2 linked regions of the Caenorhabditis elegans genome follow. The protein of the gene in region 2 interacts with the protein of the main gene of each other region in a pairwise test. Each region holds a gene or a part of one and is shown on either strand. Other genes may lie near its edges. The genes, in order: ephx-1 and tam-1.

What was found.
Region 1: the proteins of tam-1 (region 2) and ephx-1 interact in a two-hybrid assay, tested with the Caenorhabditis elegans proteins (one large-scale study listed by BioGRID).

The regions. Positions count from the first base shown.
Region 1 is NC_003280.10:4,000,030-4,010,570, reverse strand, and holds the start of ephx-1 (SH2 domain-containing protein), read right to left. Parts: upstream 5,658-10,541; coding exon 5,554-5,657; intron 3,830-5,553; coding exon 3,740-3,829; intron 3,691-3,739; coding exon 3,481-3,690; intron 2,680-3,480; coding exon 1,893-2,679; intron 1,810-1,892; coding exon 1,711-1,809; intron 928-1,710; coding exon 834-927; intron 1-833.
Region 2 is NC_003283.11:4,955,805-4,968,122, forward strand, and holds tam-1 (RING-type domain-containing protein), read right to left. Parts: upstream 7,299-12,318; 5' UTR 7,191-7,298; coding exon 7,155-7,190; intron 7,099-7,154; coding exon 6,987-7,098; intron 6,265-6,986; coding exon 5,639-6,264; intron 5,596-5,638; coding exon 5,389-5,595; intron 5,240-5,388; coding exon 4,294-5,239; intron 4,143-4,293; coding exon 3,323-4,142; intron 3,270-3,322; coding exon 3,182-3,269; 3' UTR 2,799-3,181; downstream 1-2,798. Other genes in the region: str-208 (Serpentine receptor class r-10), read left to right, coding at 1,025-1,216, 1,265-1,352, 1,443-1,656, 1,711-1,852, 2,361-2,768.

The sequences.
Region 1 (10,541 bases), on a different chromosome or scaffold from region 2:
ATATGTAGATATAGTTTTTTAGAAATTTTTAAAATTTGAAAGGATTTTTTCCAATTTTTCAAATCATCTAGCACAGTTTAAGGACTATTTTTTTTGGCTAATTTGTTGCAATTGTTTCGAGAAAAATTAATTTGAAAAGTTTGAACAAATGTTGAACAAAAGGCATTCTTGAGTACCAATTTTAATTGGAATTTGTAAAATTCAAAGTTAGGCAGTTTGTGCCTGCTAGCATGTACCAAACACCAGAGTTTAACAGAAAATCGGCAGGCAGGCATTGACGCCTACTCACTATGAGAAATTTAATTATGAAATATAAACCAGTGAAGTGTCGGCTGCTCGAAACTTTCCAACCATGAGCTTGCAAAAAAGTTGTTAATTAACAAAATTTAGCCAATGCTTTAGAAGAGCTCGGGATTTTTGAGGACATTGAAAAATTCAAAAGATTTTATCTATGCCAATTTTAATTTTAAAAAATCATTTAAAAAACAAAAAAAACGTGCACAGAAAATTTGAACATTTTTCGAGAATAATTCCATTATTAGGTTTTCAATTTCCATCTTGGAAATACGAGTATTTTGTGAATTTCTGCATGGCTTTTTTCCGAAAAAAAAAATTACAAAAAAAGCAAATTCCTAGTATTACAGTAGGCTTACGACACCTCCCTGACAATAGATTTAGTGTAAGCATTTGTGAATAGTAGGATGAAATCAAAACCACCGGAACTAAGATCATAATTCCTACGTTGACATGATTTTTCAACAATTGGACATGGTAGGAGGTAACCAGTGAAGGGAAAAGGGGAAAAAAGAATTTGTAAACTAGCAAAAGCTTACCGTGATAAATATCATCATCATCACTGCTCCAATCATCCCCATAAATGTGATCGTCATCCTGGAACGGCTTGTCAACGCAAGACGATTTTGACATCTGGAAAATTCAAAAATTACAACAAATAAATGTGAAAAAAGGGAAATGGAAATAATTCCGGAATTTGCCTAAACAAATTACATAAATTTCAATTTAATTTTTTGGATACTTTTACTTTGGAAATTCATTCGTCAACCGAAAAATCCAACAAAAAATTCAGAAAATCATTTAAAAATGTTTCCTGAAAAACTCAAAAAAATCTTTAAAACTTTGACAGAAAAACTCAAAAACCGTTTTTAAATTGGCTTAAAGTTCATAGACTCCAAAAAAATTATGACCAGAAAATTCAGAAAATCTAAGGAGTTTTCTACTATTTCTATTTAAAAAAATTACTAAAATGTTAACTGGGAATTTTAGAAAACATGTAAAAAATTTGACCAGAAATTTCAAGTTCCAGGTAAAAAATTTAATCAGAGGTGTCATGAAAACTTTAAAGTTTTGACAAAAAATTCCAAAAATTTTTATATTATAATTTGATTGAAAATTACAGAATATCTATAAAAATTTCAATTAAAAATTATAGAATTTTGAAATAACTGACTTGAAATTTCAGAAAAAAATAGACTTTAATGAAAAATCAAATTCCTGGAAATTATTAAAAAAATTTTAATATTGACTAAAAATGCAATAAACAAAAATTTGCTTCAAAAAATTTAGAGTAAACCTTTTTAATAATTCTAAAAAACTGCCTAGAAATTTCAGAAATTATTTTCAAAAAACTTACTTCAAATTTTTTTAAATAAATTTTTTTAGTTTCTGGATATTTTTTCTCAAAAAACTCACCATAGAACTAAAATCAGTGTCCAGTAGATCAACACTGACGTGGCACTTTGATCGTCTCTTCGCTTGTTTGTCGCCGACTTTCTGCCGTAATTGGCTAACCTTCAATCAGAATTAGTTTGATTTGTCTTTCTTGTTTTGTTTTCTGAATACCCAAAAAGGAACAAAAAAAACAAAGCACCAACCTTTTTCGACAAATTAAGCTGCAACTCGCTCTTGAACCTGAACAGCTTTTCCAGCTCCATTGAGCTCATCCTTTTCGAGGATTTTGGATTCCTTTGGAGAGTTGAGGAAAGGAAGCGCTCTTTGATTTCCGGCACTTTTTGAAATCTTTGTTCTTCCAGAAGCTCCTCTTCAGCTTCATCAAAGATTTCCTCATCCCGAGGATAAGCCCGTCTGCTTGAATTGGGCTCTGACCCGGAGGCTCTAGGAGGCTCCGGCCTTGAAAAGTCGGTAGACTGAGATTCATAGGTGTACTCGGATTCTAGACGTTGATGTGTAGGTATACATGTGTTTGATGATGGCGTGACCAGCATAATTTCATCGTAACAGTTGTCGTCATCCAGTGGAATAAAAGGGACATCTGGGACGGGGATATTCGGGATTCTCGGGAGACCTCCTGTGCTGGAGGATGTTGAGCTGCTCCGGAAACTGACCGGCAGGGTGTCAAATTGATTGGTAACTGGGGGTGGAGGTGGTGGGGTCTTCAGACGAGCCCTGGGCAGCGTGGCAGACATAGACCTCGGCGCGGGAGTAGGCTTCAGGTAGGAAGGAATCCTCTTGATCCTCTCCTTAGACGGAGGTACAGATGGTAGAGGTGGTGGTGGAGATACAGCGGAAAGATCTTCTGACGAAGAAATTGGAATTGTTAAGGACACTCGACACCGCTCCTCGTACACTGGGTGACCATCTTTTTTGGAATGGAAAGATGGAGAAGGGGAACTTTCAACAATCATGCTTGTTGTTTGAAGACTGAAATAGAAAGGGATTCTTATTTACATTTCTGATTCGTGAATCATAGAGAACCTTGAAACATTCGAAAAATGAGTCACTGTGGGTGGAATTGAAAAAAAAAGTTTTTTTTAGAAATTAGTTTTTTGTTTGAAATTTTTAATGGTTTTTCGAAGTGGTTTCATTGAAATTTTGCTTTATTTATAAAGAACTATTTAAAAATTTGTCTGTTTTGTATTTTTATAAAATTGTATTCTATTGAAGTAAAAAAAGTAACTTTTCAAAACTTTAATCAAGATTTTGAAAGCCGGAAGGTTTTGGAAACTGAAATGTTTTGAAGAGAAATTGAATTGAAATTTTTAAATTTGAATTTTTTGAAATTTTATTTGAAGATATTGTTGTAAAAGATTATTGTTGTAAAATTTATAAAGCTTCAAAATTGCCAAAAGTTCAATTTTTGTATAGTATTTCAAACTAAATTATTTAAAATAAAGTTTTAGACTGAAAATTTTCAGAACAACTTTAAAACTTTGATTAAAAACATTATTTTTTAAAATTACCCCTACAGTACCCCACATCACTCCTACAGCATTCCACAATACCCTACAGTAACCTTACTGTACCCCTACAGTACTACTACAGTACCCCTACAGAATACCTACAGTATTCCTATAGTACCCACGATGTAATCTTACATTAATCTACAGTATCCCACAATACCCTACAGTAGCCCTACTGTACCCCCACAGTTCTTCTACAGTAATCCACAATACCCCTCAAGTTGTCATACAGTACTCCTACAGTACCCCTCATTTCACCTACCGTAATCTAGGTGCAGGTAGCGGTGTTATCACAATTGGAGCACCCGATGCTCCGGCACCCGTCGGTGAAAAGTCGCCAGTGGATTTGCTCTTCCGAAATTCAGAAGATGTGACCAGGACGGCGAGCTCCGAGTTGCTCCGCGTTCGTCGTTTCAACGAACTTTTCCGTCGCGGTATGGCGCTTCCACGTAGCACTCGTGATGTGCACGGCCTGAAAAACAAGCAAATTAAGAGCAAAACTGAAGAGGAAAATTACTTACTCGTGAAGGTTTTCCACTACCCGGAACTTGCCGATTCGTTTGGAGATCACCGGTTTGTGGTGCTCAATTCGGCTTGTGCTGGTTTCGAATCTGGAAATCGGAAATAGCTTTTGGAAGATCAATTTTAAAATTGCAAATTCAACAAGTCGCCGACTAATCAGCGTATTCTAATAGGCGTGGCTAACGTCGCTGATTGGTTGGCGCAATTTTTTTTAAATTTTACATTCTATAATACTACAAAAAACGAAACGTTTCGGCAAACTCAAAAATTGTTTAACAATCTCTCCAAATGACCATATCGTAAAAAGGAGTGGTCAGTGATGAGGCGTGGTGGGAATATTTGATAACAATAATAATAAAATGATGGTGATAAGGCAGGGGGAGCGGGGAGACATACACATTTTGGAAATTCTTCAGAGATGTACTAATGAAGAGAGGGATGCGGTAGGTAGGTTCCTAGGCAGGCAGGCGCTAAAGCTAGGAGATGGTAAATTCCAAATAATATACATCCTAAAGTTGAAGTTTGGGTGAAAGTTGGAGAAAGTTTCCAAAAGATTCTGAACATTTTTAATGCTTTTTTAAGCTTTCAAAGTTGAGCTGATATTAGAGTAAAACTTCATAAAAAGTTGCCAAACTTCTCCGAACCATCTCTAAAACTCCAACAATTTTCCCACGAAGAAGCTTCTGGAAGAAATGACGACGCCCTCGGTCTCTCTTTACTTCTTCAACCGTTTTTCTTCCTGTCCGGTTTCAATATATTATGTCAATCAACCGAAGGGTAATGTGCTGCTATTGTTGGCTGGAGAACAACTGTGTTGGAGTGAGTGTGTGAAGGAGGAGGAAAAGTAGTATTTGTTTGACAATCATACAGAAATTGAATTGCAGACATATAAACAAAAAACTTTTTTTTTAAACGAAGAAGCATAGGACAAGAGAAAAGTTAATTTTCTAGCTGGTTATTCTATTGGTATGAAAATTTTGTGTTCTACACTTTGGCAGCTTATGTATATTCCGGTGAAATTCAAAAATATCCAAAATTGGTCAATTGCAAAACTATTGGAAAATTTAAAACCAAGATTTTCTCAGTTAAGAACTTTTTGATAAAAAACTATGACAACTTAGATATGAGCTGCCAAAATTAAACTTAAATAAATATTTTTTGAAAAAATGGATAGAATCTATGTGTCAACAAGCAGGCGGGGACAGTTTTTCAAAAATAAATGTTTGGTAAAAGTTTGGCTGAAAATAAGCAACGATGACACGTACAAAGTGGGAAAAAGCTACAGTACTCCTACAGTACCCCTACAGTTATCCTAGAGTACTCATACAGTACCCATACAGTTATCCTCCTACAATACCTATACAGTACTCCAATTTGTTCCTCTACAGTACCCTAAACTGGTACTACAGATGTTATTACAGTAAAAGCCTCATTTTGTCCCTTCAGTACCTATGCAGTACTCCTAAAATAGTCGAACAGGTTCCTACAACACTTCTGCAGTACTCCTACAGTTCCTCTACAGTGCCCTTACCGGCACTACATCTGTGAAAGCCTCCCACTGCCCCTACAGTACTCCTACAGTACCTACAGTACCCCTGAAGTAGTCCACCCTACAGTATTTCTACAATACCTCTATATCACTCCTACAGTACCCTACAGTATTCCTACCGTACTCCTACAGTACCCCCACAGTGTCCCTACTATACCCTACTACCCTGCAGTACTGTACCCCAAAAACCTTATAGTACCACTTCTACAGTAACCTTAAAATATCTCTACACTCTACAAAATCCTATAAAAAATGCTGTCTTACCTCTTGGCAAGTTCCTTAACACTGGGCAATCGCATTTTCGTCGTCGTCGTCGTTGTCGCGATCTTCTGGGCTTCTGATGTCGTCGTTGATGGTGCATTGGACATTAGATTTTGGCTCAGATTACCCCCAGACACTGTAAATTTCATATATTTATTTGATTATGTTTTATTAATCTAAAAATAGAGTTTTTTTTTCAAAAAAAGCGAGAAAAAGAGGAAAAGAAAACAGAGGAGATGCATGCAACAACTCTCGATGGGTTAATCGCTTGATTCAACATTTGAATGTGTGAGTGGAGCCCCCCGAGAGAGCAAGTGGGAAAAAGAGCACAATAATATTGATGATGATTGGGGCGAATGTTTATACTGCGCACCACATACACACTTCCCCAAAAAATCGCGGAAAAAATTTTCATGATGAAAAAAACATCTTCCTTTTCAAGAGCTTTTGGGAATGATAAGCCGAGGAGGGGTTGCCTACATTGTGTCTGCCTAGGGCCTACCTAATGCCTACCTAGTGCCTGCCTAGTGTCTGCCTAGCACCTGCCTAGTGCCTATTTGGCACTTCCTATCTACGACCTACAGAGTGCTTTCCTAGTGCCAGCCTAATGTCTGCCTAGAACCTACCTTCTGCCTGCCTAGTGTCTGCCTAGTGCATGCCTAGTGCCTGCCGAGCGCCATTACAATTAGAAGCAAACTATAAAAATATTTCTTAAAAGCTTATTCAGAAAGAACAGAACTAGTCTGTCGACCTAGCCGTCTCGGCTACTTTGCTTCAGCTATGTAATGGCTACTTCCAGACCAGCACTTAATACAGACCCCCTTTTCAACATTTTTCCAATTTGCCAAAGAAATGTGTGAAGTACTTAAAAGAATAAAAAAAGTTAGTACAATAGACTCTAACAACAAAGAAACCTTGAAAAATGGGGGTCAATTACATTTCTTTTTCTGAAGTGAGGTTAAATGGTAAGTGAAATTTTTATACAAAGCTTCTCCTAGTAAATATGCATTTTGCAAAATCTTCAAAAGTGCTGCACAATGAGCAGAACACACGACAGGAAGCGCCTTTTCTCCTGCGAGACCATGGTCAGTGGTGGTCAATGCGCGAGAATCGGGAGACGAGGAGACGCAGATGGATAAGGAAAATGTGTGAAAAACATACGGGAGGCAAGGATTGCAATTTGCATTTACTGACCGCGAGCACAATGTTGATGGGTGAGTGACATTCGAGAGGACTACGAAATGGATATTGCAATATTGCACTTGAGTTTTTTTGTTTTTTTATGCTTCAAGAGCACCACTTCTACCTCAGAGTTCATGCTTATTAGGAGGGTTACTAGTTAGATTCAGGCTTCACAAGAAAGTCTAAAGGCTCAGGCTTAGGCTTATTCTTAGGCTCAGGACTATGCTTAGGCTCGTCTCCAGTATCTAAGTATCTAATTCCAAAATTTCAGACTTCTCTTCGACCTTCATTAAATTTCGACCAATCCTCAAGGTTAAAACGAAAAATTCTTAGGGCTTTAAGCATATCCTTCTTTTTGAATTTTTGCTAAATTTTCAGACTTTCAAAACTTTCAAAAAAGTATAAATCGCATAAAAAGCTAACCCTTGAATTTTACGTATTTACAAAGCGCAGAATGGCATCTACGCTCATAACTCATGAAATTTGATTGATGAACAGCTTGCTAGTCGAGAGTAATATTGTTCCGAGGGGAAGGGTGACACATACGGAAAAGCCATGACAAAGTGAAATTGGTTGGTATTTGAAAAAGGTCAAAACTAGAACTTTTCAGATTTTTTTAAAGTTTAGAAGTTTTAAAACTAGTTTTCTAGCTACTATTTTAAAAGGTGTTGTGCTCCCGTGACCTCCCACACAGAATCAAATATTTGAACTTTCAAACGAGCGTAACAAAAGACTATTTGCACAATCACAGATACACAACACACATTCTTGAATGATTTCGAACACTTTCCGGTTTTTGAACTTTTTTTTGAATTATTAGTTGATCAAAATAACTTTAAAAAATTCTGCTAGGTGTTCCTGGAAATTCTATAGGTACGAAAATATTGTGTAAATTTTTCTGAAAAGTTTTGAGGTTTTGACAAAAATATTCAAGCTAGCTCCGAAAGAAGACAATTTCAGATATTTGACTACTTTATCGATTTCTAGAGGGATTATACTTTTCTGGAATTTTTTTTGGAAATTAATCGGGTTTTTTAACTAAAAATTGTATCATAATTTCTTTAGACAAATGTCTAAAGAAATGTCAAATTTTTTTCTTAAAAAAACGAAAAATTCTAAAAATTTTCAAAAAGCAAATTTAGCTTAATAAGCTTGCCCACGTGGCGTCAGGATGTCCCATCTCGGTTTGATCTACAAGAATTGCGGGAATTTAGACGCTGTCTTTTCAACTGATTTTACATGGATATAAACGTGCTGACGTCACATTTTTTGGGAAAAAATTACCCGCATTTTTCGTAGATCAAATTGTAATGGGGCAACCTGACACCACGTGCTTGCACTAAATATTCTCCAAATCAAAATAAAAGTTCAAAAGAACCGAAAACTGAAACACTGTTGTTGATACTAATGAAAAGTAAACAGCCCACGCCGATTGTGTAAAAGAGAGGTTTCGAGTGAGAGGGGGGATTGGTCTTTCTGCATAACCCTCAAGGGATTTATAGTAGAAGAGACGAGAGATTTAGAGAGTGAAAGGAAATGTAGTAGTACGACATGCAAATGTACAAGTTCACACTCCCTTTTCCTCGTTCTCAAAAGAATCAAATCGTTTCCGTACAGGTGCTCAGTCAGCTGGAAGACAATTCGGTGGTTATTGTATTAAAATTTGATGGTCAATTGGACTATTTGTTGCGAATCTATAATAGTTTTATTTCTATTTTCCTGTTCAATTTACAATGTCCCAGTGCCAAGTGCTCTCGTACGAAATGTGTAAAGATTTTACCGCTGCACTCTATTAAATATATCAATTGACTTTTGAGAGAGAAGCGGCTCGCTTCGGTGCCAAAGGTGACAAGATATATGGGAGGCGGGAAATTGCGAGAAATTGAACTTTTTGAAAGAAAAAAAAACGTTTTGGAGATTTTTATCGCCCATTTTAAAGCGAGGATTCGGAAAAGAAAAATATTGGGAACTTTCTGAAATTTTCTTTTTTGGAATTTAAAATATTTTTGAAATTTTCTAAGTCTTTTAGGCATTCTCATACTCATTTTTTGAAGAATTTTCAGAACACAGTTACTTTAAAAAAATACAGACAGTTTTGGCAGGCCTACGCCTACCTGCCTTCAGACCTACCTACGTTTGTATTCTAGACGACCTACAAGTGCCCTTTTGCCTTAGAGGTTACCTACATCGACGCCTGGTTGACTTCGAGGTGACCTCACCTGCCTGTTTCTAAGGCGTCCTAGGCAGGGGTGCGCGGCAATTGCCGAACGGCAATTCTACAAAATGAGACGGTTGGGCATGTTTCCCCGATCTTTTTCATTAAAATTTGATGATACAATATAGAAAAATATTTTCTCTATCTGAAAATGATTTTTATTTGACTTAAAACAACCGAGAAAGTGTTCAAAAATTGTCCGAAAGTTGAAAATTGCCGATAAAAATTTCCGAAAAATTGACGGCAATTTTCAGCTTTCGGACAATTTTTGAACACTTTCTCGGTTGTTTCAAGTCAAATAAAAGTCATTTTCAGATAGAGAAAATATTTTTCTATATTGTATCATCAAATTTTAATAAAAAAGATCGGGGAAACATGCCCAACCGTCTCATTTTGTAGAATTGCCGTTCGGCAATTGCCGCGCACCCTTGGTCCTAGGCTTGCCTGTATCTAATAAGGCGACCTACATCTGCCTCGTTGCTTTTCAGGTACCTACGGTCAAAGTTCACGTAAACAAGTGAATGTAAAGTGGTAAACATTATCTAGGTAGGCATGCTTGAGGCAGGCCTGTGGCAGGCCTGGAGCAGACTGAGTTAGACAGCTTAAGCCTATGATCTTCTATGTATTACATTTTGTTGCTATTTTATCAAATTTCGAATAAACAAACAAACAAACGATGAAAGCGCAAATATAAATTAAAGTGTCAATTTGAGATTTACCGCATTTTAAACTATAAATTGCCAGAACAAATTGACAATTTGTTTTCAAAATCAGGATAAAATTATGGACATTCCACACAAAACATTTCAACTTAAAATTAAAAAAAACAACAAAATTTTATAATTAATAAGGTCAAGATTTGTCAACTTATCTCATCACACGACATAATTTAAAGAGTACTTTGTAAAATCCATTGAACAATTGAAAAGAGAAATCAGGGATTCAGTGTGGGAGATAGGGCAGCAACAAGACAGTACCAATTGCATTCAAACCAGTTTCAATTTGGAAAACATACTGATTACACTTCGGTGAAAGTGGTCATTGTACGGTCAAAAAACACACATTCACTGAAAGGAAAAAAAGTTTGAAGTTGACGGCCGCAATTGGCCAAACTTGGGTGGTTTGTACAGGAAAGTTTTGATAAAAGTTATGTTCAGGTTTGCAGGAACTTTCCCCAAGGCCTTCTTTGTGCCTACATGCCTACCTGCTGCCAAAGTACACGAATTGGCAGTAGGCAGGCAATAGGTAGGCATAAAAAAGTTACTGTCGACCAAGAAATCATAATTTCAAACTTTTGAAGTGTAGGTTTCTCTCGAGAACTAAACGGTAAAAACTTAATATGAAAAATAAAATTTATTGCAATTTTCCAAATTTAACATTTTTAAAAACTTCGAAATTTTGAAATTTCGAGCTTTTTTTAATCTTTAAAATAAATTCTGAAAATATTTAAAATGAAAAAAACCAATTTAAAAAACTATGAAATTTTTAAAAACTTATATGTGGCTCAGTTTTCAAATTAAATTGAATTTCAACAAAACTTCAAAGTGGCAGAAAAAACCCGGCGCCTCAAAAATCGCACAAAATTTCGAAATAA
Region 2 (12,318 bases):
CTGTACAGTACGCCATCACGATTTCTTTCATGTTGGCTCCAGTTGTCTCCCCATTTGCATACATCTTCTTTGTACCACATTACTGAAACTTTTGCATTGGCAAGAATGATGTTGCTCCAGCAAATTCATCGATTTGTGCAACCTCGGCGACTTGTGGCAGTGTGGAAATGAAATCTGTGGCTTGATAATGATAATGTACTTGGAACTTATCGAATGAATAAATTGTGAAATATTTTTGTTCGAGTTGTTTCTGGTGATTAATTAATGTTCAAATCACAAACATTTTTAACAACCTTGTTCAAATTCAAAAAACACAACAGGTAAAAAAAATATCAAAAAGCTCGTAATTATTGATAATAGAGTTGCGCACACAAAACCTGGATTTTTTAGAGATTAGAGCATTTTGAGACAAAAATTCATTATTTTGTTGATAGCTGACACATTTTTCTATTTATTTAACATGTAAAACTTTGTGATTTGTCAAAATATGGACTCCTGGAAGTCTTGCCAATTCATAATTCACTCTCACACATACAAAGTTTTGGCAGATTACATATTTTGGGGTTTTCAAGCTTCGAAACAGATTGGTTAGATTGGAGTTTGATATCACATTTTGCTTCTCAGAATATGGGGAATAAGGCATGTTATTCTTAAATTAATTTGAATATTCTTTATGAGCGCTGGTCGTATCCTAAATTGCGAAGCACACGGTTATAAAAATTACCATGTAATACGGTTGGCGCCACTTTTAATTTACGTCAGAACCCCGATCCCCAGATTTTAATTCCCAGATCCGATGTTTTTGTTTTTACTAACAAAAACTCCCAATGATCTTATTTCAGACGATTATATCGTATTTTGATAATCAGACAAACCGTTTTAGCGTGTTTTCAAAATATATAGAGAAGCCAATTCTCAAGGGCTCAAATGTATAGTTTTTGTTTTTAGTTCTTTATTCGCGCCTACTTAAACCACCCGAAACGCTTAAACTACTATTATTCTGATTGATAATAAAATAAGAATTATGTCTGAATGGCAAAAACTCCAAAAATTCTCTCAAATATTCGGAGCTTCAATTTCACTATTCCTAAACTCGTTGGTGGTACTTTTAGTCGCAAAAAAGTCTCCAAAAGCGTTGGGTACATACAAAAATTTGCTTATTCTAATTGCTATGTTTGAAATTATCTATTCGGTTTTAGAGGTTCTTGTTAAACCGGTAAAAGCTTTAAAAAGAACATTCAACAACTTTTTTGTGCTTTTTCAGACTTTTACTTCTTTCGGCTCAACGTTTGTGATGATTGTGAATGTCAGAGATTCTTTGTTGAGCTATGATGTTTTGTTACTTTTAGTTTGTAAGTTTATCAAAAAGTGTATAGACAATCCACCGGGCTGATTTGCCGAGAATGCCTAGGTGAAATAAGAATGGAATATTTGATTTTCAGCCCTGTGTTGCGCATTTTTTGGATCACTGATGGTCATGTTCAGCGTACAGTTTATATATCGATTCTGGGCAGTGAGCGGCAACAATTCAATCAAAACATTCGAAGGAGTCAGAATATTTTGGTGGCTTCTACCATCAATATTAGTTGGAACTATGTGGGGTATTGCCGCGTATTTTCCTTGCTCACCGCGACCGAGTACTGATGCGTTCCTAAGGTAACACCTTCCAGTATACATTGATTTACCCCGAACCTCGTGACATTTTTTCAGAGAATTTATTTTGAAAGAGTTTGGTTTGGAGGTGACAGAGAATGTATACATTGCGCCGTATTTTTATGAAAAAAATGAAGATGGTACTACGGACATTTACTATCCATCTTTTGTGACAATTTTTGCAACAACTGTGACTGTGGTGAGTTGGCAGATTTACGCAAGAATTTTACGAAAGTAAATACTTAAAAAAAAATGATCCGTAATTTTCAATTCTTGTCGTTTTTCTTTTTTGGTTTTTTCCTGAGTTTCAGATTATTAGGCTTAGACTTAGGCTTGGTTTAGGCTTAGTCTTAGGCTTATGCTTTTGCTTTGGCGAAGGCTTAGTCTTCAGTTTTGGTTTAGGCCTTGCTTAGGCTTACGCTTAGGCCTATGCTTAGGCGTAGGTTTAGGCTTATGCGTACGCCTAAGCTTAGGTTTAGGCTTAGGCTTAGCTCAAAACTCAAGACCAACCAGTATGACTCCAAACATAAAGATTAACAAGAATTGAAAAATTTTGAGTTTTAAAATTTCCTGTAATGACATTTTGAATTTAAATAAATATTCTTGGAGTATTTTCAATATTATTAACCGGGTTAACCGGATTATTAACCGGATCAATATTATTAATCGGAATTTTTTTTAAATAAATCTTCTAAATCTTCTTTCAGATAATTTCCGTGTCTGTCATTTTTTATTTCGGTTTTAAATGCTACACATCCCTTCAGAAATTCAAAGAAATCGAATCGTCGAAACACATTCAAAATCTGCAAAATCAATTGTTCTATTCATTGGTGGCTCAAACACTAATTCCATTATTTCTGGTGCATACTCCAGCATTTGCTTTATACACATTTTCATTTCTTCGAATAAATATCGGCTCCTTAACTGGAATTACCACAATAACAACTGCCATTTTTCCTGCACTTGATCCTCTTCCAACACTAATTATTGTAAGAAGCTATCGAAATGCAATTCGAGAATCGATTTCTTCCATATTCAATTCATTCACTACAATTTTCAAAAAGTCACATGGAAATTCGATTTTACCGGTGCAGGCTCGCACGGGAACTGTTTGAAATTTTCCATGTTGTCACGTGCATGTTCAATAAATGCTGAAAACTTTTATGATGAAAACATTATTAGCGAACATACAAAACATTATCTTGCAATCCTTAACAAGTTGAAATATATCAGATGCAAGTAGAAATGAGGCTTACAGAAAAAAGATGTAACGAAAATCGAAATGATAAGTGTAAAGCGTGTAGAGAAAAAAATGATCCGCAAAGAGTTTTAGAAGATACCAAGTATATAAGAAGAAAGAGGAGAGAGAGAGCATCTAGCATCTAAACCGTAGAGAATTCATGACGGTGAATAAAAGGGGAAAGAATGAATGGGGGAAATGTGCTTTAGAACAATAGGTGAAAATTATGGACAAAAATCAGAATAAAAGCATGGATGAGGTGATTAGACGAAATGAGAAGATTATTATTTATAGACGAGTTTGGCTACGAGTTGTTGGAGCAGACGACGAAGGCATTCCATTAGAGGAAGACGATGCAGCAGAAGTACCACGACGCCTAAAAATCGATAATTAAGAAAGTCAATATCGCCAATTTCAATCTCAACTCACTTTGGCGCACGATGAACAGGATCGACTGGTTCAGTTTCCATTTGTTCTGGTTCTTCAGTCTTCGGTTTTCTATCAACCCTTCTTCTTTTGTTTCCAGGTGGTGGAGTCGGAGAATGTGGTGGGCGATTTGATGGACCGGCGGCTCCAGAAGACGTGGATGGTTCATCAGTCGGATTGTTTGAATTCCTGGCAAGCCTGCGAGCAGAGCGTCTTGTTTCAACTTCCGAAATGTGCGCCGCATCTCGTGGGCGCTGGACGCGACGACGAACAACTGAGTTACGAACATGAACTTCTTCTTCCTCGTCGTCCTCTTCCTCGTAAGGCAGATCACCGTCGTCTTCCTCCTCGTTCTCGGCTTCGTGATCCAGTAAATTACGCTCCCGAACATCTTGCTCTAGAGCATCCTGATCCGCTGCTTCTTGGAATTCTATCGCCGCTCTGTGGAGCACCGGCTCAAATTCCTCGTCTTCTATCGCATCGACTTGCTCGCGCATATCATCAAACTCCACAAAATTGTTAATCTGCGGTGGAACATCATCGAATTGTTCTTGTTCTTCAACGTTATTCTCCAGAATTCCATTATTATGGTCCACATTACCATCAACATCTGGCTCTAAAACCACGGGAACTTCTTCGAAATGAATGACATTATTGATATCTCCGGCACGATAATTCTCAACGACTTGTCCATTAACAACAACTTGCTGATCGACTTCCGGTTGTTCTTCCTCCACTTCCTCAACTATCGGTTCCGGATGAAAATTGATTCCAAAATCGCCGGCGCCTCGTTGAGCAACTTGTATCTCTTCCCAATCGGCACCTAAAATAATTTTTTTTGTTTGCGAGAGAACCTTGAAATCATACTCGTTTATGTTTCGACACCACAATAAGAATCAACAATATATTACAATACCAGTATAGTCAAAAATTAGTATTATTAGTAGATCAAAAAATAATTGCATGCTACTCACGAGGAATGTCAGCGGGTGCTGCTGGATCGACAGCATTTTGTACCATTTGATCCTCCGCCACGATTTCATCAGCCAACTGTTGGAATTGTCGATCGTTCATCGCTTGTAGATCAATTTGTTGCAGTTGCTGCTGCTGCTGGATTGGCGGTCTGAACGGTTGCGCACGTGGTTGCGGCTGTTGTTGCTGCTGCACTTGAAGCTGCTGATGATACTGCTGCATCTGCTGTTGATGATTCTGTATACGTTGTGGTGGTGGTGGCGGTGGTCCCTGTTGGAATTGCTGCCCTTCGTTGGGATGACGTTGCTGCTGCTGTTGCTGTGGATGAGCTGGCATTTGCGGTGGCATCGGAACATTGGCATTGTTGTGCATATGCTGTTGGAATGCGATTTGCATGTTTCCATGCATTATATTGTTCATGTTCGGTTGCTGCATTCGTTGATGCTGACGCTGCATCTGATCTTCCACCTGATGCATCGGATGATGTTGCTGATGCATATACATCATACGCGGTGGACCTTGTTGCATTTGATGATGCATCGGTGGAGGATGGCCCATAATGTACTGTCCCGGGCGCCCACCAACTTGAGCCATCATTGGTTGATTCATCCGTTGTGGTTGTGGACCTCCCCAGAGCCGTTGGGCCTGCATATGTTGTGGTGGAGGCATCGCGGGTGGAGGCATCACAAGTTGATGTGGTGGTGGTGGTGGGAGAAATGGAAGATCCTGCTGCTGCTGGACTCCTCGCGCCTGACGATTTCGATTACGAGCCACTTGTGCGAAATGATTGAGCGCGCCTCGTAAATTTCTGGCATTCTGTGGAATAGGTCTGCCTGCTGCGGGAGCTGCGACCTCGTTCACTCGTTCGGCTCCTCCCTCCGAGGCAGGAATCTGATTCACTGAACCAGTAGGCTCGTCGATTTGGAATCCCATTTCTTGCTTGAGTTTCTGAAAATAAAATCCTGAGTGTGGAGAAACGTTTAAAAAAAAAATAAAAATTTGTTTTTTTTTACTTTCTTTCGTGTTCCAGTTGAGCGAAAAAAAAATTGTGGAACAAGATTGTTGTAGATTTTTGTATATTTTTTTAATCAACAAACCTCAAAAGGATCCCAATAGGAATTGAACGCCGATTCGATAGCCGTAAGCATCACATCAACACGTCCACCAGCTTCCGAGTAGACTTTTGAAATTTTTTCCGCCTTTTTCACTTCCTCCATCAGCTCGTCCATTGTCGAATTCTCCTTGATCTTCGAATCGAATGTGCTGAGCATGAACTCGAAGATTTTGATGAGCGAGGTGAGCTTCTGAAATTTTTTTTTTTTTTTTTCTATGAACTCTGAAACTCACATCTAAAGCTTTTGCTTCTATAGTTCCACCAACAGATTGCAGTCTTGGCTTCAAATTTTCAAGCGATTGAAATGCAGCATGTGATGCATCACTGATCTTTTGCTTCATCTCTCGAACATCATCCGACGTCAGCGCCTTCTTCTCAACCAGCTGATGTCCATTGTGCAATCGGATCGCGCATGTCGAACAGATCTTTCGGCCAGTCTCCTCACACTGTGAACAATCGAAATAGACACCCTGACTGAGAACAGCTTCACACTGATTGCACAGCTTGACCAGATGGCGATCCTTGAAGAGTGGAGCAACTTTTTGCACAATTTCCTGAACTCGATAGTTGACAGGTAGGCCATCCGCCGGCACCAGCGTCGGCTTTCTACACTCTGGACACTTGATCTCTGTGGCGCGAGCTTCTGGTCCACGTCTCGGTAGGACTACAATTCCACGCACCATATTCGGATCGTTTGGGTTCATTCGTGGATCTAGACGGGGAAGATCTATGAAATGTGGTTGATCTTCCTGATCGGCAAACCCGCCAAGGCCTCCGAAGCCTGGACCTATATCGTCGGGATGTAGAAGTGGGCCACGTGGGCGGCCGAGTTCTTCTGCCATGTTGGTTTTCACTTGATCTACCTGTAATTTTAAGTTTCATTGGAGATGGAAGAAGTTAAAAATATGAAAATTTGCTAGAAAATAGCAAATTTATTTTGTAAAATAAGGTTGCCACGCGTTTTCTAGAGGTCACTTCAGGTAAATTACCAATTTTATCACGTTTTTTATCAAAAAATAGTTCAACATATAGAAAATCAGTTGATTTATCTGAAAATATCATTTTTCCACATAAAATCTCAAAGAAAGTGCTCAAAATTGGCGAATTCCTCAATGTTTCAGCTGAAATAAATGTTACTTCCCGATAAACCAAGTGATTTTCTATATTTTGGCATTAATTTTCATAGGAAAACGTTTAATAATTGCAGAAAATTGTGAAAACTTTCAGAAAAACATAAAAATCGTTTTTTTTTTCTCAAATTTCAAGAAGAAATTGAACTTTTAAGTGGAAAATCAGTAAAAATATATGAATTTTAGCTCCAAGCGTCTCAAAATCACTGAAAATGTCAGAACAATGACATTTTTTAAGTCGAATTTCGAGAAAAAGCGTGGTTTTAACTTCAAAAACGCTTTAATGACATGAAAATGCCTGAAAATGTGATTTGTATCTCAGAAATTACCTTTTTCTGTTAAAAAAAAAGCAAAAAACTGAGAATTTTGTTTAAAAAAACGGCAGAAAATATAACTTTCCCTTCAAATTTTGACCATTTCGACCTGAAAAAGCTCAAAATTATCAATCAACCTACCAATCTTCCAATACACGTTGAGCATAGCGTGTGTCCGCATCCCATCTGCATCGGTTTATCATAAATGTTGTAGCAAATCGGGCATTCGACGACGTGAGCCCATTGTTGCTGAAAATTCAAAAATTATATTGATTTTAATCATTTTTATTTTCACACAAACTTACATAATTACTGGTACCACTTGTGCCCGGAATGTCCATTATTGCTTTTTATTTATACAAAAATATATTCAAATATTCCAATAAAAATGTGAATAATCGGTTTTGAACCCGATTTGCCCGTCAGGCGGAATCCAAATTACCCTGAAAAAAAATGAGAAAAATCAATAATGTTTGAAAAACGAACGGGGAGAACGCTGTGGGGCGTAGTTGCAAAGAATCAAAAAGTGAGAGAGGAAAACGCACAGAGAGAGACACAGACAAAACAAGCACTTTGCGATGAAAAGGGGCTTTTTGGGTGGATGAGGATGAGGGTGCACGAGAGATGGCGTGTTTATGATTGAGAAAATTGCTGTCTAAATCAATAAAGACTGGAGGAAATTTGTTTTGTGAGTGAGTGATCTCTTTTGATGTTTTCGCTGTGAAAAATACGAAAAGACTAAAAAATTTCGAAATGCTATTTACGAAATAAGAAGAATCTCGCGCTGCAAGAAAAAAAAAAGTTTGTTTTTGTGATATTACGAAAAAAAGACTGAAAAATGTCATTTTCTGGGCAAACACACGAGAAAATATTGTAAAATAATTTTTTTAAGTTGTATTCAGGCATTTTATTGATGAAAATTGATGATTCATCGGCGGAAAAGTGGAAAAAATCGGAGAAAAAGAAAAATAAAAAATGTTTATTAATCAACCGTAGTTTGATCATGGCGAGACCCAAATTATAAATTGGGTCATGCGCCTTTAAAATGTACGGTAGGGTTTTGCGATTTTTTTTTTGAGTTTTGTGTTAAAAATCGTATTCTATTTTCAAACTGAATTCAAATTATTGAATAAATGAATTTAAAACATACTTCCAAAATTTTTTTTTGTAAAAACTATGATTCATTGACGAAAGTTGGAGAAAAATAGATCAATTTCGGCTTAATCATCAACCGTAGTTCAGATCGTGGCGAGAACCAAATTCAACAATGGTCCATGCGCCTTTAGAAATACAGTAGTTTTTGGCAATTTTTTGAAAAATTGCGAGATTGAATGAATAAAAACCCAGAAAAATAAGAGAGCCGACGAAAATTAAAGTGAGAAAAGAGTGGAAAGAAGAAGAAGAGTCGGGTCATATATTCATCAAATTGTGCGTGCATGAATCAAGTGAAAAGACAACGCGTCTATTCCTCGCTTCGATTGTTTCAGGGGGGACCACGATAATAGGATAATAGGTCTCGCAGTTGGAAAGAAAGAAATGGTGACGAAAAACGAAGACGGAAAATCGATGAGAATGGTTGTCTGTCATATGTGTATGTGTGTGTGTGTGTGCACCGGGATAATCTCCACCACTTCTCTATTGGTTTACACCGAGACGGGGGGAAGAAAACGAACCTTCCCGTCCGGCAGACACATCCCACGGGGCGGCAGCAGCCACCGAGGGTCATGATTATTTTTCATTGAGCTCTCCGCGCGCGAGCCGTGGTGGCTCGGATTAAAGCAACCACCACACAGCTGCTCGACAGAGAGCATGACTTCCTTAAAGACAAAAGGTGTTCGGTAATTGCGAAGAATACATAACAGCAGTTGGACCAAGACACCGGAGGGAATGGAATGCAAATTGAAGTGCTGGTGGAGGCTCAATTTAGATGATTTTATGGCGAGAGGAGAGAGGTTGCAGGCGTCGAAGAAGAGGCAACTAGAGAAAAGGATGGAAATTTAATAAAAACGTTGTGAAGTGAGAAGAAGAAGAAGACCGATGATGACAGACGAACGAATACCTCGGCACCGTCGCTCTGATGTTTGACAAAAACATCTGTGTGCTTAGAGACGCAGAATAGGTCAAATCATAATATTGATTCTTATCGTCGTCTTTTACGTTGTTGAGAGAGAGAGAGCATGTTTCTAATTCCGCTAGGAAAACATTTCAGTTGACAACAATACTGATGCAATGTTATTATTTTGTGATCACATTGATTACACATCAATAACACAATTGCGTAATAGCTTTTAAAAAGGAAAATAACAAAGAGAGTGGCATTGTGCAACAATACAGAGTGTATGTGTCTGGAGACTTGTGTGGTGAGGATGGGGGTACAAAAATTTCCATTCCACTCGTCTTTCTAATACCCTCTAGGGGTCTCTTTTGACAAAATGCATTGAAAATGATAAGACATATGCGATTTGTGTGTCAAAACATAATATTGAATGGGATTATTTCTTGGTTGAATATTGAACAAAAAAACGATGATGACTATTGCATCAGAGAAGAACTGAGTGGAAATTTTTTTGATAGTCTATCACATGTGATTTCAGATAGGGAATGATAAGACAATTCCACACCTGAAAGGAATAGGGAATTGAGGTCAGAGTTCAATTAAGTGATTGGGAAAAACTGCAGAGGTTTCAGCCCTTGAAAAGTTGAAAAATGACGTGAAAATATATTTGAATCAATAATTTGCAACGGGATTTAACTTCATGCGACATTTGCGACAGACAGCTCCGGGAAATTCAGATTTTTCATCAGATATCTCCCAGGACCATTTCTAATTATAGACATCGTCACCACCACCACAACGACGTTACAAACAATTAAAATAGGTTGAAGGTCGGTACAGGCCACCTTACCGATCATCGTCACTCTCGCTTGAAGGAATTAGTAGTGAAATAGGGCTGGTTCTGATTGTTGTGACTAAGAATGACGAGTACGAAGTGAAAATGAAAATGTTATTTCGTTTTGCGATTAATTTATAAATAGAAGGATTATATAGAGAAGGTGGGAGGTGGAGTAGAGTGGGAAAAATAGTTGGAAACCTAAACCTAGTGACCATGAAAAATTAGGAAATCAGATGTTTAAATAGAGGAAAAAATTGAGAACTCTGAGGAAGAAATTCTCGAGTTCTGTTCTTCATCACAGCCGGTGGTGTACACACTATAACAAAAACTGTAATGTCATCGAGACAAGAACTCGAGAGAGAGGAGATTTAGAGAAAACCGGGGCAAAGGGAGTGAGAGATATGAAGAGTGATAAGATGTTGGAGACGTGAAGAAGTAGAGAAAGATTGGGACTGGTCAGATCTTGGGGGAGGAGATGAAATGGGAAAGATAATTACACAGTAATTGGGGTTGTAAACTCACACATTGGGTTGTGAGGGGTGAGAATTTGGAATAACTGGGAAATCATTAAAGTCGATTTTTTGAGAAACTGGAGCCAAATATCTCAAATCTCAAAGATCAACGAAAAATATGTTTTTGGCTCCAATTTCCTACGGCAATCAAAATCCAAACTCTTCTTATAATCCCACAAATATAAGAAAAGACATAAAATAGCTATTTCACAAGCGAACCAGACAGGAAATTGCAGAGGAAAATGACAAATGATTGAGGTTTATATGTTATGAAAAGATTGCTGAAGAGAGACGCCTGAGAAGAAATGAATTTGAATAGAATTTGGAGAACGAGACGAAGAATACCACCACCACCAATGTTGTATAGTTCCGCTTTCGCTATTGAAATTGAAATTAGCCTGCGGTTCTTTGGGTTTTGAACTATATGTGTGAAAGGGGAAATATAAACGTTTTTTTCAGTTTCGTTTCACCACGTGGTGTCAGAGTGTCTCTTTTCGGCTTGATCTACTTAGATCTACAAAAAATGCGGGAGAAGAGAAGCAGAGTTCTCATCTGATTTCGCATGCTTAAAAACGTGCTGACAGCACATTTTTTTAGGCAAAAAATTCCCGCATTTTTTGTAGATCAAACCTTAATGGGACAGCCTCGCACCACGTGCATCACAAAAATTGAAAAAGGTACCAAAAAGTTCCCTGTTTCACTGTTCAACTTTGACAGCGAATATCTCAGTTGCCATTTGTTCTATTAAAAAAATGCCAACTGGCAAAATATTTGTTAGTTCTTTTTCTTTAGATTTGCAGTTTAGAGTTTATTGATATCTCTCAAATGAACCGAGATATAAGCTTTTATAGTGAAGTAGTTGGGTGCAACACGAGTATACGGTAGTGTGAGATTATACAGCAACCAACATCTTTCGGGTTCCGTTCACCAAAATTTTTGGGAGAGGCTTGCATACGCTCTTTTCACACCAAGTTTATGCAAAGTCACATTATATGTAAATTACTACAAGTGGAGTAATTTACATACCAACAGAAAATGCAATTTCACTCTAAAACCGAACCTAATTTCAAACAATCATGGGAAATGCTATTTTGTACTTTGATGAAATTTTGAGTGGAACATGCCGAGGACATTTAGAAATTTCACAGGTTTATGAAGTTTTAATTAAATAATTCAAGGTATTTTGAACAACAGGTGGTTCACAAATATCCAATTATTATAATTTCATAGCAATTTTATTGTTATTTCCCAACCTAATCCCTATTAAAGAGTCCTGTCACATATCCCAAAAACAAAAACAACGATGGTGGCTCACTAAACAATTAGAGCGTACATGGTGCCTCCCATATGCCTTTATATGGGTGTTAAAGAAAGGAGGTCCCGAGACAATTGCACGTAATGAATAAATTAGATCTCGTGGGTCGTGGGTGATGGTGACCAGATAAAGAGACCGACATTACAAATAGAGAAGAGAGACTTTGGATTATTCTCGTATTATTCGACCATTATTATACTTGTTTGAGAGTGAAGGGTGTCAAATGAATTGATTGTGAAATTCACAATGTGAATTGAAGGCAGTATACTACTTCCAATTAGTATTGTTCTAGAAAATGTGAGACCACTGACAATAAAATTATTTGAAAAAAAGGGAGCTTATTTTGAGAAAACTTTGGATTTTGAATGTTTCGAATAATGGGAACCTTATTCTTAAAATCTTTCCGACACACACAATTAAGCATAAGCCTAAGCCTAAGCCTAAGCTTCAGCCTAAGTCTAAGCACAAAGCTTAAGCCTAAAACCAAATATCGAAATAACGCAATCCAAAAGTTTTTAGATTTGTCCAAACTTTTAGTCAAAGTTTTTGGAAAATTGTTAAATTTTCAAAAATTCTACAAATCTATTTCTAAAATTATGTTTTAACGTTTTGCAGTTTATAAGTCGTTTTTAGCAGCTTTCCTACTGAAGATACTCTATTTTTCACTAAATCTCCTAGAAATTCCAAAACTACGCAATTTCGAAAATCCGAAAATGCAATTGAATTTCTCACAAGGCCTACCAATATT